Saccharomyces cerevisiae S288C: one gene and its partners. Changing the gene in region 3 together with the main gene of any one other region gives a genetic interaction. Each region holds a gene or a part of one and is shown on either strand. Other genes may lie near its edges.

Region 1 (7,623 bases), on a different chromosome or scaffold from region 3:
GTCATCTTCCTTAGGAGGTAGTGGTTTCACGTTTTTGGCACCAGATAGCGGTAGAACATTTAATTCATCATCAACGACTAAACAGTTTGGATTTGAACCTAAAGAAAGTATGAATCTTTCGTTAAATCTTGCAACAACGTCACCATGAGCCTCAGTACGATAACGGGCGTGAACATCCATAGTCATGGTGTACAGTTGCTTTAACGATGACATTGATTTCAATAAAATAACCACAATACCACCACCTTCTACAGTTTCAATGGTTCTTGCTAAAAGATTTGGGGTTAATGCCTCGAAGTCCTGAAGAATACACATACCATAGGTATTACCCAATATTTTCTCACTCTCTTTGTAGTATACATATCTGATATTTTGGTTAGAGATAAAAGATTCAAAAGGGTCCATTTCATTCACTTCCCTTGTACCTCTTTTAATTTCTTTCTTAATTTTATTCTCTCTTTTTTTTCTGTGCGAAGTGAATCCTAGAAGCTTCTTCTTATAAGCCCATAAGACGGACTTGTTCATCTTAAGGTCAGCACTCATCATCAAATAATGTAAATTTGGGAGCTGGTTACGTGCCCTGTCCCCAACGATGACAAATATGGACCTTTGTTTGGTTTGAACACCATTCCTGATCAGTGACGGGATTCTTGAATCGATAGCTTTTTTGGCCATTTTCTCCTTGTTTTATAAGTCTCTTATAAGTCTTTGCAAGTTAAAAACTAAGAAATATAAAAGGTGACTTGGCTTATATACTCTATTGCGTACTTTATTTGAGATAAATACAGAATCTCCATGCATCTTCAGCACCTCATCTCATCTCATTGTATCTTGGCTCTTCATTTTTTTTTTTCAAAATTTTTCACACGATTCCGGGTAAACTATTACTTTTTACAACTAATTCAGATATACCTGGGAAGTTACAATGGAAAACATGCAATGTTCGGTCTGGCTTGTATCATTTGATTGGAAAAGCGAGCATCGGTTGATACTGAACACATCCACATGCGTAATCATTAAAAAAAATTTTTCAAATTGCGAACTCTGTGGATCGAACACAGGACCTCCAGATGACTTGACCGAAGTTTTTCTTCAGTCTGGCGCTCTCCCAACTGAGCTAAGTCCGCTTATTTTTCTGAAACCTTTTCCGCCTTTTTGTCGTCCCTAGGAATTACTTTTGATGCACTGCCAATCTGAGGGAAAAATGACGTTTAAACGCACGAGAATGTGCAATTAGATGTAAGTCCATCGAAGCCTAGAGAAAGCGGTTCCAACAAAAGACTGTGGGCTCTGTTATATCATCATGTCATCTACCAGTGATAATAATGCTAATAGTGCAAGAGAGAAAAAACCACTGAAATTCGTGTCAGAAGGAGTTGGTAATGTAGAGGCCCAGAGGATACGAGAGCAAGTGGAGCAAAAAAAATATGAAGCGGAATATAAAAGGAAAACCAGGAAGTCCCTGCGAGATCAGCTTAGGTCTAATGCTATTAGTAAACAAAAACAATATAACGGTTTGGTGAGAGACCGTGAAAGTTTTACTAGGTTGAGTAAAGAGGACCTGGAATTTTACCAGAAGAGCAAGAATGAGTTGCTAAAAAAGGAAAAAGAACTGAATAACTACTTAGACGTCAAGGCAATCAATTTTGAAAAGAAAAAAAAAGCATTACTAATGGAGAACGATTCTACTACTAATACAGAAAAATATTTAGAGACCGGCACTAGTTTGGGCAGTAAAACACAAATAAAGGGCGTAAAGACATCCAGCCCTAAACCAAAAATCAAGGTATCCATAAAAAAATTGGGTAGAAAACTGGAGAACTGATGTGATGGCCTACACACTTCGTCACAACTAGAGCTTTATGCCAAGATTAAACTTCAAGTTATATAAATTATGTAAACATTGGACATACAAAACTCGGAAACTCTTTTTCTATTCATCTTCCCTTCTCGTACGTGCCCACGGAAGCAATAAAAAGAACCGAAATAACCAACACCCGTAACGTCAAAGCATTCATGCTTAGAATGGAAACCATTTCGTGGAATGAAATGGCAAATTGATCACATTGATTGCTCGTTCCACTACCTGTGTCCGCAATTTTTTAATGGTCATCACAGCCCCTGCTGACTAAAGTTCCTCGGATCCGCTTACGGTTGTCGCGCGGTTCCGCCCCTGCGTACTCTTAGTACCTAGCATATGGGCTCCCTCCGTTGGATTGGCATCGATTAGTAAGGACAGATGTTAAGGATTTAAGACCGTTTTTAAGGTATTTCGGCAATGCTTCGATTTAAAAGGAGAGAGTTTTTTTTTTGCCGTTTTCTTCCTCTCACTTCTTGATTAGTACTGTAATTCTAGTTGAAAAAAAATCGTTAACTATACACAGCAAAAAGCAATATCATACTGCATATCAAGCATGTCCGCCTCGATTCCAGAAACCATGAAAGCCGTTGTCATTGAAAATGGCAAGGCTGTAGTCAAACAGGACATTCCAATTCCTGAATTAGAAGAAGGATTTGTTCTAATTAAGACTGTCGCCGTTGCCGGTAACCCTACCGATTGGAAACATATTGATTTCAAGATTGGTCCTCAAGGTGCCCTCTTAGGCTGTGATGCAGCCGGCCAAATCGTAAAGTTGGGCCCAAATGTTGATGCTGCACGCTTTGCCATTGGTGATTACATTTATGGGGTTATTCACGGTGCTTCAGTGAGGTTCCCCTCAAACGGTGCCTTTGCTGAGTACTCTGCCATTTCATCCGAGACTGCTTATAAACCAGCCAGAGAGTTTAGATTGTGCGGTAAAGACAAGCTACCAGAAGGCCCCGTAAAATCTTTAGAAGGGGCAGTATCCCTCCCAGTCTCATTGACCACGGCTGGTATGATCCTTACACATAGTTTTGGCTTGGACATGACATGGAAGCCCTCCAAAGCGCAAAGAGATCAACCCATCTTATTTTGGGGTGGTGCCACTGCTGTTGGCCAGATGCTTATTCAATTGGCAAAAAAACTAAACGGTTTCAGCAAGATCATCGTCGTTGCTTCTCGTAAACATGAAAAATTGTTGAAAGAGTACGGTGCAGATGAACTTTTTGACTACCACGATGCTGACGTTATCGAACAGATAAAAAAGAAGTACAACAACATTCCTTACTTGGTGGACTGTGTCTCCAACACAGAAACTATTCAACAGGTGTACAAATGTGCCGCTGATGACTTAGACGCTACGGTCGTTCAATTGACCGTTTTAACCGAAAAAGATATCAAGGAGGAAGACAGGAGGCAAAACGTCAGTATTGAAGGAACCCTTCTATATTTGATAGGAGGTAACGACGTCCCATTTGGCACGTTTACTTTGCCAGCAGACCCTGAATACAAGGAAGCCGCCATAAAATTTATTAAGTTCATCAATCCAAAAATCAATGATGGTGAAATCCACCACATCCCAGTGAAAGTTTACAAGAACGGGTTAGATGATATCCCACAGTTACTTGATGATATTAAGCACGGGAGGAATTCTGGCGAAAAGTTGGTTGCCGTCTTGAAATAAATAATCTATAGCTACTTATGTATATAGCGCTTGATCATTCTGTTTACCTCCACATTATAGTGCCGTTCAATTCCCCTCACCCGCCTTAGTCTTTTTCGGGCAAAAAAAATTGCCGGAAGAGAGACGTCGTTGAAAGAATTTGGTGGATAAACTCGTGAAAGCTTAAAGTAAGGCCTTTCACCTAAACTCGAGTATAAGCAAAAAATCAATCAAAACAAGTAATAATGTCTGAAGTAATTGAAGGTAACGTCAAAATTGACAGAATTTCCCCAGGTGATGGTGCCACCTTCCCAAAGACAGGTGACTTGGTTACCATTCATTACACCGGTACCTTGGAGAACGGCCAAAAATTCGATTCCTCCGTTGACAGGGGCTCTCCATTCCAATGTAACATCGGTGTCGGCCAAGTCATCAAGGGTTGGGATGTTGGTATTCCAAAGTTGTCTGTTGGTGAAAAAGCTAGGTTAACCATCCCTGGCCCATATGCTTATGGCCCACGTGGTTTCCCAGGTTTGATTCCACCAAACAGTACTTTGGTTTTCGACGTCGAATTGTTGAAGGTCAACTAAAAGCAAAGTACTATCAATTGAGCCGCCTTTCTGCTTTTTATTTATGTTTATGGTAAGTATCTGAGCCTTAATTGAAATAGATATATAATTACAAAAGATTAGACAAGGAGAAGCATACGTATATTCTATTTCTTCATTAAGGTTATTTTATTCTATATCTGCTACACTACATTAAATACAGATACCTCTATGGAACGGATGAGCGTTTATTATCGCGATCTATATATGAGCAGTGATTATTTTTTATTTCGTAGCCTGCTGGAAACTCTTGTGGCAGGAGGGCTATTTTTACGAGAGCCTGCCTTCCGCCTTTTCCTTTTCGGCGAGGTTTCATTGCTAGTATTACCTGTGGATGATGAATGCCTAGTTCTCTTTGCTAATGGTTCATTTTTGTCCTTAGAATCCTTTTTGGTATCATCCTGTTGATCATCTCCTTTTTTGTTTTCCGTTTTTTTCTTTAAGTTGCCCCCTTCTGATTCAATTTGTTTTCCTTTACCTTCTGCCTCACGTTCAGACTCGTATCCCAGTTCTTCGTCAACTCCTTCGTCAACTCCTTCGCTTTCAGAGCCATTGGTATTTTCATAAGAGGTGGATTTTTCACGCTCATCATCACCTTCTTCGTTTTCGTTTTTTTCCTTATCTACTTCTTCATTGTGGGTTATTTTTGGCTCCTGGATCTCCTCTTTCTTTTCTTTCTGTTCTTCGTCTTTCGTATTATCTTCTTCTATCTCTTCCTTTTCTTCATCTTCAAATTTAACTTCCTTACTTCTTTTCAACCTTTGAGATTTTCTTACTGGAGCTGCTGTTTTATTTGTACTTTTCATTTTCTGTTCTTCTTCACTCATATGTTCCCTCTGGAGTTCCTTTTCATCGCTTTGCACCTCCTTAATGGGTTCTTTCTGGACGTCTATGGGGCTATCATTTTCCTCTGTATGATATTCAGGCAACTCTTTCACTTTAATTGTCGCATTTTTTTCCTGTTTATTGTTGTCGTTCTTTAGGTCTGTAGAAGGACTTTCCTTTGGAATTGTACTATCTTTCTCATTCATATCTTCAACTCGAGGATACTCTTCGTTAGAGTTTGGACTTTTTCTTGCATTTTCTAAGATCAACTCACCGTATTCCTCCCAAGGTAATGTAAAATCTTGCTTGCGTACTCTTATTCGATTATTCAATTCAAGTAAAGTTTCTTCATGAATTTCTGCATCGTCACCATTTCCATTGCCATTCCGTGAACTCTCTGTAGTGGCTTCCAAGGAATATGTATTCTCCATTTCATCAATTTTCTCTAAATTGTAAGATTGGCTCAACTTATCCCATATGTCTTTTGCAGTAAATACCTTCCCCAACTTCATGGTTTCTTTCTGTAATAGCGTCACTGGATACTTATCTGGCGAATTCATTCTTTCCACTATGCAAAACATGTGGAAATGCTTATGAATTCCGGCCGGTTTGAATTCAGATGCCCATCTAAGAAGTCGTATTTCATCCACAATTGTCCAATGTACTACCATCACATCCACGATTCCCTTTTCTTCACTAGCAGCTAGCAACTTCTAATAAACTCCGCCAATCCATCTTCATAGATTATATGATTGATTTCTTCGTTAAGCACGATTTTACTTTTCATGGTGGCAGCCGGATACGTTTCGCTTCGCAGTATTAGTTAAGGAACTATGCTGAAGATATACAAAAAGAGAGAGCGAACGGTCAAAAAGGTGAAGGTTTCCCCAGAGGAAGTGCAACTAATTCGAATATATATCGAGTAGGAGCTCCTTTATACTTTTTTGGTACGGAAGACTGGTTACAATTAAAATACAGAGATAATGCCAAGAAAGGCTAATTTGCTAAAATCTTTGGCAAGAGGACGAGTACGCACTTCTTTCAATAAGTATAATTTGTTTAATTTGTACAAAAAGGGTGGTGTAGACTTGAAGTCTAAATCTTTGTATCAACAGAAGTGGACGGCAAAGCAGGAAACCCGAGCTTATCATGGTGAACATTTGACAGAAAAGAGATGGCAAACCGTTTTCAAACCCAAATTGGATTCAGTAGCACAATTGGATGCTTCACTGCGTGGAGGTGAAATCAAGGAAACACCATTTTTATTACAAACTTTTGCAGTATTAGAAAAAAGGCTTGATTTTGCCCTTTTCAGGGCTATGTTTGCTTCGTCAGTAAGACAAGCTCGTCAGTTCATCTTGCATGGAAATGTTCGCGTTAATGGTGTAAAAATTAAGCATCCAAGCTATACTTTAAAGCCTGGAGATATGTTCAGTGTCAAACCGGACAAAGTGCTGGAAGCTCTCGGTGCCAAGAAACCAAGTTTCCAAGAAGCGCTAAAGATCGATAAGACTCAAATAGTTTTATGGAACAAGTATGTTAAGGAAGCGAAAACGGAGCCAAAGGAAGTTTGGGAGAAGAAGTTGGAAAATTTTGAAAAGATGTCGGATTCTAACCCAAAGAAACTTCAGTTTCAAGAATTTTTGAGGCAATATAATAAGAATCTGGAGTCACAGCAATATAACGCATTAAAGGGATGCACACAGGAAGGTATCTTGAGAAAGCTTTTAAATGTAGAGAAGGAAATAGGTAAGTCGAATAATGAGCCCTTGTCGATAGATGAACTCAAACAGGGTCTCCCTGAGATCCAGGACTCTCAGTTGTTAGAAAGTCTAAATAACGCTTATCAAGAGTTTTTCAAATCCGGTGAAATTAGAAGAGAAATCATTTCTAAATGTCAGCCTGACGAGTTGATTTCACTGGCTACAGAAATGATGAATCCTAACGAAACCACAAAAAAAGAATTATCTGATGGAGCCAAATCCGCTTTAAGATCTGGAAAAAGAATCATAGCGGAAAGCGTGAAACTATGGACGAAAAATATAACAGACCACTTCAAAACTAGGATGAGTGATATTTCTGATGGTTCACTAACGTTCGACCCCAAATGGGCCAAAAATTTAAAATATCATGATCCGATTAAATTATCTGAATTGGAAGGTGATGAACCAAAAGCACGTAAATTGATAAACTTGCCGTGGCAGAAAAATTATGTTTATGGTAGGCAAGATCCTAAAAAACCCTTTTTCACACCATGGAAGCCAAGACCATTTTTATCGCCTTTCGCCATTTTACCTCATCATTTGGAAATATCTTTCAAGACATGCCACGCTGTATACCTAAGGGATCCCGTCGCTCGACCAGGCCAATCCGAAGTAATTTCACCATTTGATGTTCCTGTTCATGAACGTGCATATATGTATTACTTGAGAAATGGTAAATGATCGTCGTGTATTGTTGCACGCGTCTTTTGACTGATCTTCAGCCTCTCTTTACACTGTAAATATTTAATTTTTTTTGTTTTTAAGTTCTACTCGAACGATCAAGTAGTCACTTAGTCGCTCCTCGTTTTCCTGTTACTTCTTTAAGAAAAGGTTACACATGAAAAAAAGGTTTTACAAAAAGTATATAATTGTTTATTCATTCACTTTTCTTTCTGATTGATT
Region 2 (8,439 bases), on a different chromosome or scaffold from region 3:
TTTGCATCCATGAACTTTTCCCATTATCACCATTGGTGGTGTGTGTAGTGAATGTTTTGGTTAACGTTATCGTGTTCAAATGACGACCTAGAGTTATGATTGCAACTGAAGAACCATGAACTATGATAGAAGTAACAATGAAAAAACAAGTTATTGGCCATATACAGGCTATCAGCTGCCAATGTTTACTTTCCTCTTTTGATGGTACAACATTTAAAGGAGTGGGTTCGTCACTAAAGGTAGACTCTAATTCTCCACGAGCTAGTATAGCGGCAAAAATTGCACCTACACCAATAGGACCAAAATGGCCCACAAAAAGTGCCTCACGCCACGATTTTATATCAGGTATAAGAGGTCTTAATATCATGACTGCAGGGATCCTACGTAAAAAGATGACCACTATCGAAAGTATAATTAAACGCCAGACGTTTGTGCCAATTTCACCGTTGTTGAATTGACTCCAAGGTATAATGGCACCAAAATAGATAAAATACGCATAGTTTAGTAGCAAATCAATCACGGTAGAAACATTACTTTCTTGTGTCTTTTGAGAAAACCACCCATCCCAAGCGAAAGTCGCACCGGCTGCAAATGATACCAATAGGTCATCCACACCCAAAATGGAGCCGAACCCAGCACACATGAACGCCAGGACAACGTAAAATGCTAAGAACGACTCACGATCGATAATGTTTTTCTTTTCGGCAAACCTGATGGTGATTCTGCCTACATAACCAATGAAGCAACCTAGCAAGCATCCAAACAAACACTCATACAGGATAGTAACGCAAATCCAATCTTTGACAATTTCTCTTCCATTACCGGGATGTAGGATTAAATTCATAGAAAGAAATAAAAAAGGAAAGGCCATACCATCATTGCAGCCTGACTCTGCAGACAGTAGATTTCTTAAGTGACCAGGTACTCTTTGGGCAAACTTACCGGAGACGACCGACTGCGCCAGAATAGGATCTGTTGCGGTAATGCACGCAGATATCAACAAACTAGCAGAAAAATTCAAGCCAGGTATAAGAATCCAAACGAAGAGACCAATAATAAGCCATCCAGCTGTCATCACTGGCAATAATAGCATCGTCACAGATACCCAATGCTTCAACATATATTTCCGTGGCAGTTCCACGGCAACGGCAAAAATTTGCAAACATAATACTATTCTCGTTATCTCTAATGTTATACTGTCTGAATTCCCCCATTTCAGAGGATTAAACCAGTTCAAGCAAACAGGACCCACAATTAGCCCAAATATACCTGCTACGGTGGACTCACCAATATAAAGCTTCTCCTTGACATAAAGTGACACTAAAGAGAAGATAGATGAAAAGACACCAACACATGCATAAGCAACGTGCGCCTTTGAGACTTCTAGTTGCTCCCAGATAGCCATAATATCTAGCTAAGTTCAGGATTTTTTTTTATAATGTACAAAAAAACACGATGCTTGGGAAAAATAAGTGCAGTGGAAAATGAAGCTTAAAAATCAAATGTGTGTAGAAAGTGTGATCCTATGTAAATCGCTAAGTCCGCTTTATCTTGACGATAACGGATCCAGCAGCTTTTAGATTATTAGCTATATCACACAGAGTTGGCTTAGTGCCCTTGCTAATCAAAAATGAAAATCTTCCCAATCCGTACGGAGGGGAAGAGGCACTGCCGCATCGCAAAGAAAAATAAGATTATCAGCATTATATTGTTTCTATTATTATATATGGGACTAGGTGATAAGATAAAAGTTAAAACGGGACTCTTGTATGACCTGGTCAACGATATCATAAACCGTGAAGTCATATTCTATGATGGCTTTCTCCAAGAACAGTGTTGTCACCTCTTGTGACCGCAAGTGTATCCCCACGAGGACATGGAATTGCAAATTGTAGGTAGTTTGTAACCAGTGTTTGAGTTGCTTGAGCGTCTTCAGAAACGGATCTATCAGGTACTCGTTGTATATGACATCCATAGCTATAACGTACACGGAAGAACATGTTTCACCTATGAGTGACAACTCAGGATGCAGAGAGTGGGTCTTTTTGTCTTGCAAGTTTATCTTCTCCCAGTCTAGAGCGGCTACTTCCAAATGCAACGTAGACTTAGATGGAAGTGACGCTGCGGTGATATCAGCGTCGCCAACTGGTTCGACGGTGGGAAGTTCCAATCTTAGTGATCGGGAAATGCACCGCTTTCTGGTCAACTGTGATAAGTTTTCCATGATGTTATCTTTTAATTTATTAAGAATGCCCTTCTGATCTGTCGACACGTAGGTGTCGACGAAGTTACCAAGAATCACGGGCAAAATACCTGATATTCCTGCTCCAAGTTCCAAGATACCTCTCTTGCCGCGATCAGCGCCCGTGAGGTCGACCAGCCTGGGCAACTCAAGCTTGTGCCCCTCGCAAGAAGACCCGCAGGTTACTTCCACCTGACTCCCAAGACGGAAAGGTGCAGCGCTAGTACTATACAGCAGCCAGTTGATGAAGAAAGGTGTGGTAGACCACAAAACGTATCCTGTGGTGGAGTTTCCGTTGTCTCTGGACGAGCGCAAGCTTGATATGGACTGCCCCACGCTAACATGATAGCTATCCACAGCAACATTCTGATCTTCTTCAACACTACTAGCCTTATTTCTTCTTCTCACTCGCTTTTTTTTTCTGCCGCCTTCCAGCCCAGAGGGTTCAAACGTTATCTCTAGCACACCGCCCCTTCTATCCTGAATACCCAAATCCTGCGCCAGTTTCCCGGACTGGCCCTCCAATTGTGTGTACCGTTCGAACACGTGCTCGTATATTGTTTCCTCATCCAGTAGCCATAACTTGAATGCCATTCTGCCTAGCCCATTTGCGTCTTCGCTGCCGTAACCATTCTCTCTTCTTGACAGCACTGCCTTGGTCAGTTCTCTATATTTGTCGCGCCGCCGCAAAATGCACCCACATTAAAGAAGACGACGCCAATCGACACCCTAATTTGGAGGTGTAGATGCACAATGGCACATGCAGTTGGGTGCATTGTGCCAGCAATCTCGTCTCGATTTCTCTACATGTAACTTGTATATATATTTGAGAGAAGACATAATCGTTGGTGGGACTTGGAGGCTCTTGGTAGGTCGTATTTGTGCATCTTGAGAGAAAGCGAAACAGTGCTGCAAACTCAATACGTAAAAAATAACGCAATATGTGGGCTCAATTATCATATACTAGACCAGAATCTCAGAAGACTGACTTAACGTCGTTGTTTTCCACAGATCAAGAGCAAAATCCATTAAATGACTACCAGTACCAGATCAATATTAGGGAACTGGAGGAGTATTACAACAAGACGATTTTAAACGAGGATAACATACAGGAAACAAGCAGTGAAATATCTTCGGCAGTTTCATTCTCTCCACCAAAAAATACAAACGCTATTCAACCGGGGCTACTGTATGATCCACAGTTAATGAACCCTTTTCTCCCATCCGCTCACCTGAATAGCACGGCACCTACTACTTTTAAAAAGAAACTAGAGGTACAAATAAATCCGGACTATGTCCCAAAATCTTCACAATTACCATTAACTTCACAGAATTTGCAACAGTTGTCTCAACAAAAGCCCAAAAATGATGCTTCTTTTTCATCAGAGAAGGAATCCTCAGCTCAACCTAAGGTGAAAAGCCAAGTGCAGGAAACTCCCAAACAATTATACAAGACAGAGCTGTGCGAATCATTCACTTTAAAAGGAAGTTGCCCTTATGGCAGTAAGTGTCAGTTTGCTCACGGACTCGGCGAATTAAAGGTTAAGAAATCGTGCAAGAATTTCAGGACGAAGCCCTGTGTGAATTGGGAGAAACTAGGTTATTGTCCTTATGGCAGAAGATGCTGCTTCAAACATGGCGACGACAACGACATTGCTGTTTACGTGAAAGCTGGTACTTACTGTAACGTCTCTTCGACTAGCAAACAATCAGACGAAAAGAGAAGCAATGGTCGCGGCTCCGCCAAGAAGAAGAATCTAAATGTTAAAGTAAAGGCTTTGCAGAGAATGACCTGGTGAAACAATTCCTGGCCTGGCGAAGACCGGCGTCTCAACTAAACTCAATTATTTATTATTTTTTTCTCCATGTTATGCTTTTTTTTTTTCTGCTTTTTTTTTTTTATTCTCATTTTCATGTTTGCGATATTGGTAACTCTAAAAAAAAAAAACTTTTATTTAAGTTAAGCTACTTCATGACGGTATATATGCATATTTGTGTACGTGTATTCTTCATCTATACGTAACGTTTGTTTTGTTTTGTTTTTGTTTTGTCAAATTCTCAATCATTCGGCACTACTTTTTATCGTTTCTCAGACATATTCCTTGAACATCGGCCCATTCTCTGATGGTCATTTCGTCGATTTGCGAAACAAATGGCTCGGCGCTGAACAGCTTTTCAATTAGCTCATTTAGCGGAATGGGTTCAAAGGTATATATTCGCTCCAAAAAATCAGGGAAGGCTTCAATTAGTTCGGTTAAATGATCAAATATTTCTATCTTACTGAAATTTGCCACCCCACCATGCTCACCTTTATTATCTGGATTAGCTGTGGACAGAATTTGAGATGCAGTTTGTAAGGATTGAATGATTTCAACCTTCGTCCTCATAGGTTTCAACCCCACTGTTTTCAAGCTTTGTCGAAGCTCTTTCATTGATTGGGACATCATGATCTCACAAAATTTCTCGGGAGAAGCTATGGAACTAGCTGCAGAGGTATCAATAATGTCGTTGCTAGTAGTAGGATTTTGTGTAGAATCTTTAGTCGAAATTTTGGAGGAATCTACCAATTGGATATCAGCAATGCAGAATTGGTCATCAAATTCTGTCTCCTCTTCTTCAGAATCATTTGCCTCAACTCTATAAAAGTTATGTTTCACCAGTTTGGGGTTTAGCTTAACTACGCTTTCTTGCAATAATTTAACTCTGATGGAACTTCCTATGTTATTCTTTTCTTCTTCAGTTTTTAAAGTTGTAGTAAGGTTCTTTTGAGGAATAATTGTAGGGGTTCTTGTAGCTGGTACCTGAACCTGATTTGATGCTTGTGATGTTACCCCTGTTTTGTTGTTTTCTACTTTCAAAGGTGATATTAACGATCGAACAGCTTTGAATGATTCCTGTGTTAAATCGATTATCCCATCCAAAGGCGATGTGTTTGGAGTGAAAAACTGTGTGCTGCCTATCGTGTCGGTGGCTAATGGTGGTCTTTCATCATTTTCAATGAAAACATACCGATACTGGTCTAGTGGAAACAATGTGGATGTCTCATCTGTAGTATCTGAGACAATAGAAATATTGTCATAATCATTATCCGTACTGTTTTCGCATCTTCTACTTACCTCAACAGACATAGGTTTGCAAGCTTTATAATCTGTCAGTGAAAATGCATTTATACGTGTTCCCACAGCCAGTTCAATATCTTCACCAACAACATTTCCTACCGGTTGTTGTGGCTCTAACCCGTTTCCATATTCTTGAGAGCTTGTAGAATCTCCCCGTGAAATAATTATGCTTTCTTCGTCTTTCATAATTTCACTTTTGTCATCCATTACTTGAGACAACGATAAGAAATTTACTGCACTTTGGGTATCGCGTATCCTTTCTTCCTGCTCTGGTTGAATAGCCTCATCGGGAAGCTCGGGTGGTAATTGTGATGCTGTCCAAAGTCTTTGTTGTGAGGATTCTTGATTGTCTAGAGAATTCGAGCTTTTTTCGCTTCCATATAAAAATTTCTGGACTTCATTCAAATCCGTTTCCTCACTTTGCGGAAACTTTTGTAGAAGAAGTTTCATAATATCTTTCCACTCCTGTTCACTATATGTATCAAAAGTAGCTTTTTCACCCTTGTTATTCCTTGCTCTGGGAGGTTTATCACTGTTTCCTTCATTTTGCGTCTTTATTATGTCCAAAACCTTCTTGTGCTTACCTGATAATTGCTTTAATAAGCTGGCAGTCCTTGAACGTTCGTAGTTATTAATATTGAAATCAGTTATATTTTTGATAATTTTAGGGTCTCGTTTAGTTTTAGGTTTTGTTTTGAGTTTCGAATTAGCCTTCCTTATTGCTGGTCTTCTTTTAGCTGTTACATTTGCATTGCTGTGGGTATCATCTGCGTTACTACTCTTGAACGAATACTTGAATTTTTCAAGTTTTAACTTAAGATTTGTTTCTTCCTCTGCGTCATCAAGTCGGCTTTGAATTTGAGTGTTAATGAATATGTTCTCCTCGATATTTGATCCGCCTAAATCGGGATGGGAAGTGCTGACTGGGTTACAACTTTTATCAACATCTTTATTTCTTTCTGTATCGTTTTTCGTAGTCTCTTGCGTCATAGGCGATTTTTGTGCAGTTACGCTTTTTACTTGCGTACCTATTGAATCATCATCAGATGATAAGGAAAACTGCATTTCCGGTACTTGAGTTTCCATTCCTAAAGAGTAAGCATTCTGGCTCTCTCCATTCAGGTTAGTTTGATCGGTAACGTTCACATAATCCTCGTTTTGTAAAAACTTCAAATTCCGTTGTGCCCTCTGAAGTTCCATTATTAAGTTCCCCAACTGAACTACTGGTTATTATTATGGAACAGAGATAGATAATATCTCTCTTGCTTGTTCGGAGTTCCATTCATCTCTATATTTTTAGTATGCAGCTTTCGCGTTATAAATTAAACAAAAAACCACTAAGTGACAAAGAACTACGCATATTAATAGTATACAACAAAAACAAAGGAAAAAAAGAAATGAAATCAATTGGCGAAGCAGAACAAGTTTTCTTTTCCCTACAATGATTGTAAATTCATATATGGTGCTCTACTGGTGATTTTTCATCGAACAAAAACCCGTTTTTAGGAAGGACAGAGGTCCATATCAATATAATTAAGAAGGCATGTTGGCCTCTGTTTCTTAATATATTCTAAATAAGATGTAAGGCCTTGTAATTCAGTTTGTTCACAAAATTAAAAACTGTTTAATGTTTTTTGTTTTGTTGTAGTATTCGAGCATTAAGGATAAAAAAAGCTTGTGAATAAAAATCTTTCGCTAAAAATCAATATAAGAAAATGGTAAGCAGCTGAAAGATAATAAGGTATGGTTAAAGATCACACCACCCTCTTCAATTAGCTAAGATCATAGCTAAAGGTACAAAACCGAATACGAAAGTAAATAAATTAATCAGCATAAAATTAAATAATAAACCACCTAAAATATTAGAAGCTAATCTTTAACCTGGAAGACAGGACAGAAAAGTAATTACAAGAACATATGTGAAAAAAAATAGTTGATATTTTAAACCAAATCAGAAATTTATTATACTAAAACTATATCTATGCCAATTATTTACCTAAACATCTATAACCTTCAAAAGTAAAAAAATACACAAACGTTGAATCATGAGTTTTATGTTAATTAGCTTATTGTTTAGCGTTAGTAGCGGCAGTCAATTGAGCTTGTTTAACCAAGTTTTGTGGAGCATCAAAGACTGGCAACATAACTTCAATCATTCTAATCTTAGAGTTGTCTTGGAAGTCCTTGTCTTGAGTCAACTTTTCCCATTCACCAGTGGTAGCAACTCTGTGGGTTTCGTAGTTTCTAGCACCAAAAGTTGGCAATAAGGCCAAGTGGTCCCAACCTTGAATTTCATTATATTCGGCATGAGGACCGTGAATCAATTTTTCAATGGTGTAACCGTTGTTATTCAAGACAAAAATGTATGGCTTCAAACCCCATCTAATCATGGTAGAGATTTCTTGAACAGTCAATTGTAGAGAACCGTCACCAATGAATAAAATAACTCTCTTCTTTGGATCAAGTTCTTCAGCGGCCATAGTAGCACCCAATAGAGCGCCGACTGTGAAACCAATGGAACCCCACAAGACTTGGACGATAGCGTATACATCTGTTGGGAAAGTAGTTTGGTTAATACCGAAGGCGGAAGTACCGGTTTCAGCAATAACAATATCACCTTCTCTCAAGAAGTTACCCAAATGGTTCCACATCCATTCTTGCTTCATTGGAGTGTTAGCTGGAGTAGACTTGGTAATTGGAACTCTAGCTGGGACAGCAACAGGTTTGTAGTCCTTGACGACTTCTGGAATAGCATCCAACAATTTTTGCAAGGCAAATTTCATTTGAACACCTGGGAAGGTGGCGTTTCTGATCTTGATGTGGTCAGAGTGGAATTCAACGATATTTTTGGTCTTGTAGGAGTAAGAGAAAGAACCGGTATTGAAATCAGACAACAAAGCACCGATAGACAATATCAAATCAGCAGATTCTACAGCCTTCTTAACTTCTGGTCTAGACAAGGTACCAACGTAAACACCACCGTATCTTGGGTGTTGTTCGTCAATAGCACCCTTACCCATTGGGGTGACGTAAACTGGGAATTGAGTCAAGTCCATCAACTTCTTAGTTTCAGCCTTG
Region 3 (8,463 bases):
TATATAAAACAAAAAAAAATAAAAAAATAAAAAAAAAAAAAAATAAAATTCGAAAACAATAGGAGACAAAAGACATCATAAACAGCACAAGGAAGACGGTTCTGTTTCGTTGCTATGTCTAATACCTTGCCAGTAACAGAATTTCTTTTATCCAAATACTACGAACTTTCCAACACTCCTGCCACAGACTCATCATCGCTCTTCAAATGGTTATACCACAAGACTCTCTCCCGTAAACAGCTGCTCATATCCGATTTGTCTTCCCAGAAAAAACACGCCATCTCCTACGATCAATGGAATGACATAGCGTCGCGATTAGACGACTTAACGGGACTTTCCGAATGGAAAACAATCGACGAGTCCTCGTTGTATAACTATAAGCTGCTGCAAGACTTGACCATCCGTATGCGCCATTTGAGAACCACTCACGACTACCACCGCCTGCTTTATCTGATTAGAACTAAGTGGGTCCGTAATCTTGGCAACATGAATAACGTTAATCTTTACAGGCACTCGCATACCGGCACAAAACAAATTATACATGACTACCTAGAAGAGTCTCAAGCAGTGCTCACCGCGCTGATCCATCAGTCAAATATGAACGATCACTATCTCCTCGGTATTTTGCAACAGACGAGAAGAAACATAGGGCGCACGGCTCTCGTGCTTAGCGGTGGGAGCACTTTCGGCCTTTTCCACATTGGTGTTCTTGCCGCCCTTTTTGAATCGGACCTGATGCCTAAGGTGATCAGCGGTAGCAGTGCTGGCGCCATTGTTGCCAGCATATTTTGCGTCCACACGACCCAGGAAATTCCCTCCTTGTTGACCAATGTACTTAATATGGAGTTTAACATCTTCAATGACGACAATTCCAAATCTCCCAACGAAAACTTACTAATCAAGATATCGAGGTTCTGCCAAAACGGTACCTGGTTCAATAATCAACCTTTGATTAACACAATGCTTTCGTTTTTAGGAAACTTGACCTTTAGGGAAGCCTACAACAAGACTGGAAAAATCCTGAATATCACAGTCTCGCCTGCTTCCATATACGAACAGCCGAAACTACTAAACAATTTAACCGCTCCAAACGTTCTCATCTGGTCTGCCGTATGCGCATCTTGTTCTCTACCTGGAGTTTTCCCCTCCACGCCGCTATTCGAGAAAGATCCTCACACTGGAAAGATTAAAGAGTGGGGGGCAACAAATTTACATTTATCAAACATGAAATTCATGGACGGATCTGTAGATAATGACATGCCCATTTCTCGTCTTTCTGAAATGTTCAATGTCGACCACATTATCGCCTGCCAGGTAAATATACATGTCTTTCCCCTGTTAAAGTTTTCAAACACTTGCGTTGGGGGTGAAATTGAAAAGGAAATTACCGCCCGTTTCAGAAACCAAGTAACAAAGATCTTCAAATTTTTTTCCGACGAAACTATTCATTTTTTAGACATCCTAAAGGAGCTTGAGTTCCATCCCTATTTGATGACCAAATTGAAACACCTTTTTTTACAACAATACTCTGGCAATGTCACAATTTTACCCGATCTATCAATGGTTGGTCAATTCCACGAAGTATTGAAGAACCCATCTCAACTTTTCCTATTGCACCAAACTACTTTAGGTGCAAGAGCTACTTGGCCGAAAATTTCCATGATTCAAAATAACTGTGGCCAAGAATTCGCCTTGGATAAGGCCATCACATTCCTAAAGGAGAAAATAATAATCTCTTCGTCAATAAAAAACCCTTTACAATTCTACCAACCTCGATTCAGTGAGCAAATCAAATCTCTTTCCATAATGGATGCTGACTTGCCGGGAGTTGACTTGGAAGAATCCTCCTCCAATTCACTATCAATTATCAAGTCTCCCAACAAAACAGCGGCACCGGGAAGATTTCCTCTTCAGCCATTGCCTTCTCCATCTTCTACCTTCAACAAGAGGAAAATGGATATGTTATCGCCTTCTCCATCGCCTTCTACATCTCCACAACGTTCAAAATCTTCATTCACGCAGCAGGGTACAAGGCAGAAGGCAAATTCTTTATCGTTTGCCATCGGTGCATCTAGTTTACGGCTAAAGAAATCACCATTGAAGGTTCCATCACGACCTCAATTCAAAAAAAGATCTTCTTATTATAATCAAAATATGTCGGCAGAGATGAGGAAAAATAGAAAAAAATCTGGAACAATTTCCTCTTATGATGTTCAAACAAACTCAGAAGATTTTCCCATACCGGCTATTGAAAACGGTTCATTTGATAACACTTTATTCAATCCAAGCAGGTTCCCCATGGACGCTATGTCGGCTGCCACAAACGACAATTTCATGAACAATTCAGACATTTTTCAAAATTGAAATGAAAGACAATAAGTACATTTTTATATAAAAAGCTTTCTATATTCTCACCTCCATCAACTCCAAAAGGTACATGCCATTTTGTTATATTAAATATTCTAAGAATTTTCCGAAGGATACTGCATTATCATCAGTGATTTATTAATCTATGAGTATGAATATGAATTAATTCCAAATTTTCTCCATACATCTCTTTCATAAACACAATCCACTTGAGTAACTAAGTTCTGCGCTCGGATCATATTAACTGTGATATGAGACACTTGGGAACATCCGTCAATATTTAAATATGCCAGTGGTTGACCTCCCGCTTCGTTGTCATGATCCATCTGAAATTTTTTTAGAAATTCATATATTGATATTCCTGTAATTTCAAAATTGTGCGAAATGTCAAGCCTCTTTAAATTTTCCAAAAATGGTACATTAATAATGAATGACTTCATCGTACTATCATTCAAGGAGCTGAGATGCGATAAATTTATTTCTTCCAACTTGGAGAGTCTCTTCAAAACTGCATTCACATCCAGTATCATCCTTGCTGTATGAGCGTGATTATTTGGGAACTGGATGTTGGGGCAATTCCCAATGTTTAAACTTCTTAATTTCCGACCATCCAAGTATTCCTGCTCGCATAATCTAGTCAACGCAGAACCACTTATCGATGTCCCCATTAGATCCAACTTTTCCAGGTTTTGGAGATTTTCCTTGTAAAATAGCATGGATGGCACCTCGTCGTCATTCGTAACAGGCTGATCTTCATCCAAATTAACAATTGGATATAGCTTGTTCTCTCTAAAGGTTAACTTTTCCAAGTTTTTCCAGACATTCGAAAATTTTAACAATTGCAAAAACTTACTGAGTTCACAGTTGTCGTTATCTTCTATCCATAGTTCTTTTAGGTCTGGGAAGTTCAATAGCCATTGAAAATTCATTATGTCTTGATTATTCATAGGAAATGTTACACCAGTTATCGTCAGTTTCTGCAATAGAGGAAACTGGCCTCTTAATAGAGCACGACAAAGTGGAAAATTCTTAATTTTCTTCTTATCACATATCAATGTTATCTTCTCTAGCTCACTATAAATCACCTTTTCTTCTACTATTCCCTGTTCATCATTATCCGCAGTGGATATCTGCATATTAGTATGACGGGCCATCACATTGAAACTTCCATCCCTCCCAACGCTATTATTTCCGTCGAAAATTGGTACCAGTGAATTGACAAAAATTAATTCTATTTTTTTCAACAGAGGACAAGTCTGCAGTATCTCCAATTCATGTTGTTTATCAGGCCTATAAGTTATCATGAGAGATAATTCCAGCAGCCTTGTAAAAAAATCTGTGCCTCCTCTAACCATTAACTTAAAGATTTGTGTTGTAGTTAGTGTTGGCATTGACAGTATAAGCCGTTCGATGTTTATACATTTCGGCATTTTACTGAATAATAATTGAGTTATTCGTAACTCTTCCGAAGTGATTCTAGAACTGACTTTTACTTGTGAAAGAATATATTTTCTATACGTCCTGGTGAAATTCTGTTGTAAAAAATCCATAAACTTTACAAAATTTTTAAAATTTATTGGTGCCAAGTTGAATTCTTGGAAGCAGTCTAAATGATACAAAATTTTGTCCCTCCATTTGTTACAAACTAGCGACAACGTAACAAGCTCCTTAGTGGTAAACCTTTGGAATATGATAGGTAGTATTTCTATCGGCAAATTGCCAACTAAATCAGTTTTCTTGGTACTACCTTTAATCTTCTTCTTTGGTAACGATTCTAGAACATTATTATTCTTTTTTTTTTTTGCTATTTTGGTCTCCTCTAATGGATCTATATAACTTCTCTTGCCGTCCTGTTTTTGAACCATGTTATTTTTAATGAATTGTTTTTGTTGTCTTAGATGATTGCTATCGTTATTGCATAATTGCAGTCCACGAGAACATGTTTTATATGCCCTTTTCCAGTCTTTTAATTTTATCAACGTCCTTGTACATCGTATATAGCATTTGATATTACCTGGTTCTAACTTAAGTAACCTTTGTGATACGTCCAAACAAGATTTCAAATCATTCAATTTTTCGTAGCACGCACAGATGTTATCCAATATCTTTATGTATCTAGGATGATATAATCGTTTGTTATCCGGTCTCGCAGTATCTAATTGATACGCGTTCCTAATGCGCATAATCTGCTCCTGAGAATAAGAATCACATACTCTCAAAGCATTTGTGAATATCCTTTTCGCTTGCAAATATTCTCCAGATTTAAAAAGCCTCGTTCCTAATTCAATTGCTTTCAGAACGGTAGAATCTATAGCCACGCCTGAATTCCCTGGGGAAGACATCGGGGTGTATTTTTTGTTCTTGGTAATAAATTTATACGACATGGCTAATCATTTTGCATGTCTATTTATAATATTTTTCGAGAAATAACTATAAAAAAATGACGAGAAACAGTTTAGCTGCATAAAAACTTCTCAAATAAGCGCGGTTTAAAGCTAGTGTTACCAAGACCGATAATAATGAAGTTTTTGGGTGTAATACTGCTAGCAAGTTTTCTTTTGATTGCTACCTTCCTCATAGGGCTTATCCCATTGTATTATATTGATAAACAAAAAAGTTCCATTGTCACAAACCAAGAAGGTGCTGACTCAATTTCTGATTTTACTACGAACGCAGATACTCAAACGATCAATGACGATGTTAGTAGTTACCGTGTGAAGATTGCCGTTCTATCACAATTCGGTATAGGAATGTTGTTAGGTACATCATTTATGTTGGTAATACCGGAAGGTATCAAAGCGTGTGTCGAACATGATGGAAACGTTGGTGTGAATTTATTAATTGGGTTTCTAGGTGTTTATGTTCTTGATAGGTTGGTTACACTATGGGTTTCTAGAAAGCAAACGGTCTATACGCATGATGCTGTCAAATTTCAAAGCTGGAAAGATATAATAAACCATCCAAGACAAATATGGATGAACTTAATACAAAACAATGTTGTCTTTGCCTTATTCATTCATGGACTATCTGATGGAATTGCATTAGGTACGACAACGAACAATGATTCACTGCTCATAGTGGTGTTAATTGCTATAGTTATTCATAAAATTCCTGCCGTTCTTTCCCTCACTAGTTTGATGGTATCGAGACAAAACTTAATGAAATGGGAGGTGATCTGTAACGTTTTCTTGTTTGCGTCATCGACTCCGATCGGATACATAGTGTTATCCCTTTTGAATCTGAGTCATTCGCCAACGATGGATTGGATAAGTGGAAATCTTCTGCTTATGAGTGGTGGCAGTTTACTATATGCGTCTTTCACAGCATTTGTTGGTGGAGATTCTCATGATCACGATCTCAGCGTTGAACAGGAAGTCGTTTTACCTCATGATGAATCCGTTTATGTTTTGATAGGTGTCTGCATACCGTTGGTGATATCGTACTGCATCTCTGAAGAATAACCTACCAAACTTCAGTATATATTCTCATTGTTTGATTATAGATAAATGAACATTATGATTAATTTTGTGATTGTACTATTATTTTATTATGTTGTATGCTATATATTACCCTTTATTCAAAGCCTTTCTATTTAGCCAACGGTCTTTTGAACGTATGATGGATGATTCTTTCTTTGGTGGTAATGTTTTAGAATCTTGTGTGGTGGATAACAATTGAACTCTAAATTTTCCTCTTTTCACCGAATCTTTCCTTAAATTTTTTAATGTCTTCCTTTTCTTAGTTTTTATAGCTTTAGCCAATGCCTCTTCATTTTCATCTGACTCATCCAATTTATCGAAAGTTACATGTCTTGAAGATGAGTACTGCGTACTACCTTCGTCCTTCTGATCTATATTTTTTAGCAATTCCTCAGGAAGCTCCGCAATTACTTCATCAGTGACCTCTGTCTCATTCACTGATTTCTTTTGCTTGGCGTATAATTCATTTTGCTTCCTTCTCTTGGACCGCAATTGTGATTGTTCCAGCCTTATAGCCTCCTCCCTCTGAGTGATCTGTGATTCTACCTCACTTTTCCCAGAGTGAAGCCCTTCTTCTTGTGGAGCATCATCATCATCACTTTCCTCATCACTACTTGAATGCACTTCCTTGTCCTTTTTTGATATTACCAGCACATCATCTTGTCTATCCGTGACAGCACTTGCGCTGGCTTGACTTTCATCGGCATCAAACTTGACGTGTCCATTACTCATTGTCTTACTTAATACGTGTATACGGGTAGTAACAGTTCAGGGTATCAATTCGTACTGCCTTCTAAACATATTTGGGCTTGTTCGAACAACTTCGCTAACCTCATCGCTTGAAAAGAAAAATTTTCAATCAACGGAACTTGATACCATCTTTCCGTGGAGGAACCTTCTTTTTCTTTTTATTTACCCGACCATTCCCGTGGAAGGTGACTTGAACACGTTTCAGAGTGCTATCCCCGCTAATTTCCGATTTCATCTCTGGTTGATATACCTTTTCAGTTTGTCGCTTAGCACGATTGAGTTGTCTTTTCAAAAGCTCGGCGGCTATGACTTCTTGCTCCTCTTGTTGACTTCGCAGCATTCCATCTTCAGAAGGTGATGATAAAGATGAGGGATGGATCCTGATAAGCAAAGGACCTTCAACGTTCTCAGATGTATCATCAATATCCATATCCACGTCTACCTTGCCCGCGCGGCCTAGGTACCGGACAAACTGCGTCAAAGAACGATGCATGGTGGCATTCATATGTACATGATCGCGATCTTGAACATACTCGTTGTATACTTTGTTAGCATCAATCCATTTTTCTCCGTGCCGCTGCTTCAATAACTGTAGAAATCCCTTTTCAAACTGGATATTGTAGCGCCTAGCGTCCTCAGCTGTCACTTGACTAATCTTCCTTAAATGAGATGGCGATTTGTTATGTGATTGAAATCCGTTTGCATCTTTACATTGCCTTTGGCATATTTGGCAGTAGTAACGGGTTTTCTGTAACCCACGACGAGCTCCCTGCTTGGACCAATATTTCGCACTATCATAATCTGCCATCGCTGTGATTTTCTACAATCAAACAACCCTGTGTTTTCGCTCTTTTTAGGACTTGTCAAGAAAAGAATGATGATACTGACTTTTCCATTTGATATTAATTTCAACTAGCGGAGTTTTTCCAGTTTTCAAAGTACAGGACAAAGTGTTGTGTAACCCGGACCAGATTTACATTGGTGTACTATAATATGTACTATAACAGATTGGAGGTATAAACCTAGAGACCCTTCTACAATACACGTACGAGGAGGTGGTCTTCGAAACTTACAGTACCACCTGACATGTCGTTATTAGAGCAATTAGCAAGAAAAAGAATAGAAAAATCTAAAGGCCTTTTAAGTGCGGACCAGTCTCATAGTACATCGAAAAGTGCATCCTTACTAGAAAGACTACATAAGAATAGAGAAACTAAAGATAACAATGCTGAGACAAAAAGGAAGGATCTGAAGACGCTACTTGCAAAAGACAAGGTAAAAAGAAGCGACTTTACCCCGAACCAGCATAGTGTTTCATTGAGTTTAAAGTTGTCTGCCTTAAAGAAGTCAAATAGTGATTTGGAGAAACAAGGAAAATCAGTGACATTAGACAGCAAAGAAAACGAACTCCCTACCAAAAGGAAATCGCCTGATGATAAACTCAACTTAGAAGAGTCATGGAAGGCTATTAAAGAAATGAACCATTACTGTTTCTTGAAAAACGATCCATGCATAAATCAAACCGACGATTTTGCGTTCACAAACTTTATCATAAAAGATAAAAAAAACTCGTTGAGTACATCAATACCGCTATCGTCGCAGAATTCATCATTTCTGTCCTTAAAAAAGCATAACAATGAGCTCCTTGGTATTTTTGTGCCTTGTAACCTGCCGAAAACAACTCGTAAAGTAGCCATTGAGAATTTCAATAGACCAAGTCCTGATGATATAATACAATCGGCCCAACTTAATGCTTTCAATGAAAAATTAGAAAACTTAAATATCAAATCTGTGCCCAAGGCCGAAAAAAAGGAACCAATTAACCTTCAAACACCACCTACTGAGTCGATTGATATTCATTCATTCA
Region 4 (6,772 bases), on a different chromosome or scaffold from region 3:
TACTTTTTTCAAAAGAATCCCTGAACAACATAGATGAACTGATCAGTATTACCAGAAGCTACAAAAAGCAATTGCAAGAGGATATTCTCAAAGAAGAGAATGAATTGAAGGAACACCCTAAAAATTCCGCTGAAATAGAGGCTTCTCTGAGGAAAGTTTTCCAAGATTTCAAAGAAACTCAAGATGTCTCAGCCTCCACCGAGTTGACGATATCGAATCTGACAGAAGGTATCTCGTACCTGGACATTGCCAAGAAAAACCTCACCCACTCTTTGACTCTTTTCCAAAATTTAAAGATATTGACAGACAGTTACATACAATGCAATGAATTACTCTCACAGGGCTCATTCAAAAAAATGGTGTCCCCTTATAAGATAATGTGTTCGCTTGCTGAAAACACATTCATCTCTTACAAATCATTGGACGAGATAAACTATTTGTTGAGCTCCATTTCAAGACTGAAAGGAGACACTTTGTCCAAAATTAAACAAAACTACAATGCGCTCTTTTCCGGCGGCAATATCTCAGAGCATGATACAGCACTCACTATGGAATTGCGCGAAGGTGCCTGCGAGCTACTCGACTGCGATACAAGTACGAGAGCCCAGATGATAGATTGGTGTTTGGACAAACTTCTCTTCGAAATGAAAGAGATATTTAGGGTCGACGATGAAGCCGGATCCCTAGAAAATTTATCGAGAAGATACATTTACTTCAAAAAAATTCTTAATAACTTCAATTCAAAGTTCGCAGACTATTTCTTAAAAGACTGGGAAATGGCAGTCAGATTGACCACCACTTTTTATCACATTACACACAAGGACCTTCAGACACTTCTGAAAAGGGAATTCAAAGACAAGAACCCTTCCATTGATCTATTCATGACAGCATTACAATCGACGCTAGATTTCGAAAAATACATCGACGTACGATTTTCAAAAAAAATTAAGGAACCAAAACTAAGTTCCTGCTTCGAACCTTATTTGACTTTATGGGTGTCTCACCAAAACCAAATGATGGAAAAGAAATTTCTTTCTTATATGAGTGAGCCGAAGTACCCATCTAATGAAACAGAATCTCTCGTGTTACCCTCGAGTGCAGACCTTTTCAGGACATATCGTTCCGTACTGACTCAGACCTTAGAGCTCATTGATAATAATGCCAATGATAGCATATTGACTTCATTGGCAAATTTTTTCAGTAGATGGCTTCAAACTTACTCACAAAAAATTCTTCTTCCTTTACTGCTGCCCGACAATATTGAAGTCCAGGATAAGCTAGAAGCTGCCAAGTATACCGTTTTATTGATCAATACTGCAGATTATTGTGCCACGACTATAGATCAATTGGAGGATAAATTATCTGAATTCAGCGGTAATCGTGAAAAGCTGGCAAACAGTTTTACGAAAACGAAAAATATATACGACGATTTACTAGCAAAAGGAACTTCTTTTCTATTAAACCGTGTCATACCCTTAGATCTAAATTTTGTATGGAGAGAGTTTATCAACAATGATTGGTCAAATGCTGCGATAGAAGATTATAGCAGGTACATGGTAACCCTCAAATCCGTACTTAAAATGCCCGCATTAACAGATGCCTCTATTAAACAACAGCAAGAGCAACCTTCGACTTTGGCATTTATTTTGTCGCAATTCAATAGAGATGTTTATAAGTGGAATTTCTTGGATAAGGTGATTGATATCATCACTACAAATTTTGTAAGCAATACCATCCGCCTTCTGCAGCCCGTTCCACCCTTTTCCCTGGCGGGCAGCAAAAGGAAATTTGAAACCAGAACTGTTGTCAACATTGGCGAGCAGCTTCTCCTTGATTTAGAATTGCTGAAGGAGATTTTTCACACTTTACCAGAAAGTGTAAGTAACGATTCTGACTTGCGAGAAAATACCTCTTATAAGAGGGTGAAAAGACATGCAGACAATAATATAGACCAGCTGCTGAAGTTTATTAAACTTCTAATGGCTCCTCTGGATTCCGCTGATGACTATTACGAGACCTACTCCAAATTGACCAATAATAACCCTGATTCAGCGGTATGGTCTTTTGTCCTCGCTTTAAAGGGCATTCCATGGGACCTGGCATTATGGAAAAAGCTATGGAGTGCCTACAACTTAGAAACAGACGACACTGACGAGGGCAGCAGGCCAGACAGTAATCGCGATCTTTTCATATTCAAGTGGGACAAGGTACTTTTGGGTCAATTTGAAAACAACTTGGCAAGGATGCAAGATCCGAATTGGTCAAAATTTGTGAGGCAAGATCTGAAAATATCACCACCTGTTATGAAGAGGATAGTATCCACCCCTCAAATACAACAACAAAAAGAAGAACAAAAAAAGCAAAGTTTGAGTGTCAAAGACTTCGTTTCTCACTCAAGGTTCTTTAACAGAGGCACTTGAAAAAACGCATGAAGTGGTTTACAGAGGAAGTACGTAGTATAGTATAATATAGTTCATAAATCTATATTCTTTCTAAACATCGAAAACGAGATTTTTTTGGACTTCCGTCTTTTTTTTTTTTTTTGACTTGAATTCTATTAATATTTATAGCTGACCTGCGCACCAACTTTATGATCGTTGGTAGAGAATGTTTTGAATTGAACTACTTCACCATCAGGTATCTCTTTACTATTGGAGTCGGCCCATTCTAACGGAACTTTAGCATCCGCGTCTGTATATGCAAGTACTGTGAATGTGTACCCACCTTCTTTTGTTAGTTCGGGCAGAAAGGTAACGCTTGAGGTGATTTGCCTGATTAAAGCTCTGATTTGTGATTGTGTTGTATTTAAATCTACAACATCATCCTGCCCGTTGCTATTGCCAGAAATGTGTTGCACATTGAAGGACCATCTTTCCACCACCTCTCCCTCATCCTTGTCTACAATACATAATACTAATTGATTGCATTTTCCACCAAGAAGCCACCTGTGAACTTGTAGAAGAATTTTCCGAATGTAATCTTTCAGTTCATCATCATGTGTCTTTAGTAACGTAAGATCGTACTTTTTCACCGTTACGAAATCTTCTGCTGGGTATACGCCTCTTTGGTACAAAATGGAATTAATGCTGTACTCGAAAAATTCTGTAACTGTCCTTGTTGAACCCTTTAGTGATATTGATTGTGACATTAAATGTGCTATTGGGCCCCTTTGAAGTGGTTTTCAATACTCTTGTACGAGTATTTAACATCAATCATTCTTCGGGGCGATTTCTATTCTTGAAATGTTAAATCATAAACCATACGTAAACATTTGAAAAAAATTAAAGGCAAAAAAGAAAAAAACCACATTTTTGAGCCACATATACCTAGTATACTGAATTTATACTATAAAGCAGTAGGTCAGCAATGGTATGTGCACTTCAAATGTTCGTTACATTATGAATTCTTTTTTTTACTGACTACCAAGCAATTTTTTATATTTGCCACATTAAACAGCATGGCATTAAAAGGAAACAGTGGACCAAGGAATTACTGAGACAAAAGAGAGTTCAAGACGAAAAGAAAATATATGATTATAGAAGCTTGACTGAAAATGTTTTGAATATGAGAGATGAAAAAATTTACTCAATTGAAGCTCTGAAGAAAACATCAGAACTTCTTGAGAAAAATCCGGAATTTAATGCTATTTGGAATTACAGAAGGGATATTATAGCGAGTTTGGCTTCTGAGTTGGAAATACCTTTCTGGGATAAAGAGTTAGTTTTTGTAATGATGCTATTGAAGGATTACCCCAAAGTCTATTGGATATGGAATCACAGACTTTGGGTCTTGAAACATTATCCTACGAGTTCCCCTAAAGTGTGGCAAACTGAACTTGCTGTCGTGAATAAGTTATTGGAACAAGATGCAAGAAATTACCACGGATGGCATTACCGCAGAATAGTTGTTGGTAACATAGAGAGTATCACTAATAAAAGTCTTGACAAGGAGGAGTTTGAATACACAACAATAAAGATTAACAATAACATTTCAAATTATTCTGCATGGCACCAAAGAGTACAGATCATAAGCAGAATGTTTCAGAAAGGAGAGGTTGGGAATCAAAAGGAGTATATTCGGACTGAAATATCTTATATCATCAACGCTATGTTTACCGACGCCGAAGACCAATCCGTATGGTTTTATATCAAGTGGTTCATTAAAAACGACATTGTTTGTAAAACTCTGGACGAACAAGAGTACCTTAAAATGTTGAAAGACTTGAGAGAAAACATTCTGTTAATAAATAATGACGAAATTGAATTTTCCGGGAAGCAAAATATTTGGTGCTTGAAAATTTTATTAGTTCTCGAAGATATTCTGGAAGAAAAGGAAGCTCTAACGGAAAGAAGCTCGGAACAATATTTGGTCCAATTAATAGATGCGGATCCGTTAAGAAAGAATAGATACCTACATCTCCTGGAGCAGCATAAGTGATGATATACATATATAAACATATATATATATGTATATATGATGGAAGCCTGTTCACTATAAGCGGGATTTCATTTGACACCTTCAATGCACGAAAGTATATGCATATTTTTCTTTTATTGTAATATTACCGATGATTTGAACAAAGAAATAAGTATATTAGTGTAGAGAATAGATGTATACAAGTTCTAAATACTATAGGTTAGACTATGCAGGAGGGTTTAACCCTGGATTAATTTAGCTGTCAAAGATTCCAAATCCTCCAAAGTTTGTGGTTCTTCCACTTCAATAATGTCATCATCAACTGAATTGGATGGATTGTGGCCGTGGGAATAGTCAACAGTTCTAGCTTTCTTTTTCAAGTGGCCTTCCGAGTCAGGCATATCACCGTCGCTCATATCATCGCTCAAGTTTCCTGTTCCTAAATATGCTACTGTCTTCCCTTCTTCTTCATCTCCAGAAATTTCTTCTTCCATAGCAGCCTCCATTTCCCTTCTCATGGCTTCTAGTCTTTTTCTCTTCTTCTCTTGTTTTTTTTCTTTAGCCACCTGCTTATCAATATTGTCAATGTCTGCCATTACTGCAGATTCTTTAGTTAAAAATTCTGTCTTTTGTACCTCCGCATCACCTCTCTTATGAAATTCTTCTTCATCTTCAAGTTCATAAACTGGATGGGCTTCGCCTTCATCATCAAATATTAATTTGCTAGCGTTACCCTTGGAGGCCAGAGATGCCTTCTTTGAAAGCGCTTTCTTCTGTGCTCGCCTTGAAGTTGGAAGAGTTAGAGCTGGTAACTCAGCTTCATTTATTTCATGATCTTTACGCTTGACAGAAATGAAATCGTCATCCTCGTCTTCTTGTGCTTGAGCCTTCGTTATATTCAAATAGTGTTCACTTAAGATGGTTTGATTTTTACGTTCAAACATTTTATCATATTTTGTTCTTGGTTGTTTCGACTTATCTTCAATTACTTCACCATCTTCATTTGCTTTTGATAAGAAAGCTAGCTGTCTTGGAGCATTCTTTCTTTCTTTGGCCTGCTCAATGGTCTTCATACCCTTCATTTTGATTTTTGGGGCCCCTGGTAAACCAAGAGAATAAGCGAATTCTTCTGTTGGTAACTCATCGAATTTGAAAACTTGTTTGTCCTTTTGCACATATATAGATCTCACGTACGATATAAAAGCCTTTTGTCCTAGATATTTTAGTTCTGGATCCTTGAATAATAATGACTGCAATTGTGGTTTAATGGATTTCTTTTTTGACTGTTTTATATTAAGTTTGCCTGGTTCGATCTTTCTAGCGTTAAGTCTTTTTAGGAACGCTTCCTGCTCTTGTGGAGTCAACATGATTAAAGATTTACCCTTTTTACCGTAACGAGCACATCTACCGACTCTGTGGATATATGTATCAACGTCCTCTGGACAATCCACTTGAACAACCCAATCGACTGCAGGAAAGTCAATACCTCTAGCAACGACATCGGTAGCAAAAAGACACACCTGTTGAGCACGATTGAATTTGTCCAAAGTTTCTGTCCTAGCACGTTGTTTCTGTCTACCGTGTAAATGCATTAAAGAAATACCAGGCTGCATCTTCCTAAATGTCTCATAGACAAAATGCACTTGTTTGGAACTTGATAAGAAAACGATCATTTTGCATTTTAAATGTGATTTTATAAAACTGAAAAGGATATCCAATTTATCTGCCAAAGGAACTTCAATGTAGAATTGTTGCAAAGTTTCTGGAGTAGATGCTTCTTTGTTAACCGACCCATCCATCACATCATGTGTACCAACGGTTTTATAATCTGTCAAGGAAAGCCTAGCCAAGTCTGCAACAGATTGTGATTGAGTCGCTGAAAATAAAAGTGTTTGTCTAGATGGTGACAATGTGCTTACGATGGCATCCAGAGTTTTTTTAAACCCCATGTCTAAACATCTATCAGCTTCGTCAAGAACAAGCATCTGCAAATTGGAAGTATTTAGACCTACGGCTTGATCTAAATGTTGTAAAATACGACCAGGTGTACCGATAAGAATGTTAATCCTTGATATCCTTTCTAGTTCGAATTTAACATCTTTACCACCGATAACTAACCCAGCTGAAAATGAAGTGTGACTACCTATTTTCGTCAAAACCTCATATATTTGCATAGCCAACTCTCTTGTTGGAGATATGATAAGGGCACCTAACCCATCGAATTCGGTCCATTTTTCGCGGTATAGCTTTTCAATTACTGGAACTAAAAATGCTAATGTCTTACCGGAACCTGTCTTTGCGGCCGCCAATACATCATGACCTTGCAGGGACACGGGAATAGAATCGGCTTGGATCT

What was found.
Region 1: mutations in DIA2 (region 3) and EAF7 impair growth when combined (synthetic growth defect), as found in Saccharomyces cerevisiae (4 studies listed by BioGRID, with this or other methods).
Region 2: mutations in DIA2 (region 3) and SLX4 together harm fitness more than expected from each alone (negative genetic interaction), as found in Saccharomyces cerevisiae (7 studies listed by BioGRID, with this or other methods).
Region 4: mutations in DIA2 (region 3) and MAD2 together harm fitness more than expected from each alone (negative genetic interaction), as found in Saccharomyces cerevisiae (4 studies listed by BioGRID, with this or other methods).

Annotation. Positions count from the first base shown.
Region 1 is NC_001146.8:368,373-375,995, reverse strand, and holds EAF7 (Eaf7p), read right to left. Parts: upstream 5,629-7,623; coding exon 4,351-5,628; downstream 1-4,350. Other genes in the region: ribosome biosynthesis protein KRE33, read right to left, coding at 1-675; FYV6 (Fyv6p), read left to right, coding at 1,304-1,825; YNL134C (uncharacterized protein), read left to right, coding at 2,415-3,545; peptidylprolyl isomerase FPR1, read left to right, coding at 3,770-4,114; mitochondrial 37S ribosomal protein uS4m NAM9, read left to right, coding at 5,941-7,401. UniProt on the Saccharomyces cerevisiae protein: Component of the NuA4 histone acetyltransferase complex which is involved in transcriptional activation of selected genes principally by acetylation of nucleosomal histone H4 and H2A. The NuA4 complex is also involved in DNA repair.
Region 2 is NC_001144.5:411,403-419,841, reverse strand, and holds SLX4 (Slx4p), read right to left. Parts: upstream 6,562-8,439; coding exon 4,315-6,561; downstream 1-4,314. Other genes in the region: NHA1 (Nha1p), read right to left, coding at 1-1,405; RKM5 (S-adenosylmethionine-dependent methyltransferase), read right to left, coding at 1,733-2,836; TIS11 (Tis11p), read left to right, coding at 3,184-4,041; PDC5 (indolepyruvate decarboxylase 5), read right to left, coding at 7,428-8,439. UniProt on the Saccharomyces cerevisiae protein: Regulatory subunit that interacts with and increases the activity of different structure-specific endonucleases. Has several distinct roles in protecting genome stability by resolving diverse forms of deleterious DNA structures.
Region 3 is NC_001147.6:470,840-479,302, reverse strand, and holds DIA2 (DNA-binding SCF ubiquitin ligase subunit DIA2), read right to left. Parts: upstream 4,710-8,463; coding exon 2,511-4,709; downstream 1-2,510. Other genes in the region: TGL5 (triacylglycerol lipase), read left to right, coding at 115-2,364; Mn(2+) transporter ATX2, read left to right, coding at 4,887-5,828; BUD21 (Bud21p), read right to left, coding at 5,934-6,578; RTS2 (Rts2p), read right to left, coding at 6,706-7,404; SKI7 (Ski7p), read left to right, coding at 7,683-8,463. UniProt on the Saccharomyces cerevisiae protein: F-box protein component of a SCF (SKP1-CUL1-F-box protein) E3 ubiquitin-protein ligase complex which mediates the ubiquitination and subsequent proteasomal degradation of target proteins. Probably recognizes and binds to phosphorylated target proteins.
Region 4 is NC_001142.9:384,033-390,804, reverse strand, and holds MAD2 (spindle checkpoint protein MAD2), read right to left. Parts: upstream 3,149-6,772; coding exon 2,558-3,148; downstream 1-2,557. Other genes in the region: VPS53 (Vps53p), read left to right, coding at 1-2,420; Rab geranylgeranyltransferase BET4, read left to right, coding at 3,367-3,369, 3,457-4,437; RNA-dependent ATPase HCA4, read right to left, coding at 4,656-6,772. UniProt on the Saccharomyces cerevisiae protein: Central component of the spindle assembly checkpoint which is a feedback control that prevents cells with incompletely assembled spindles from leaving mitosis. Thought to be recruited to unattached kinetochores by MAD1.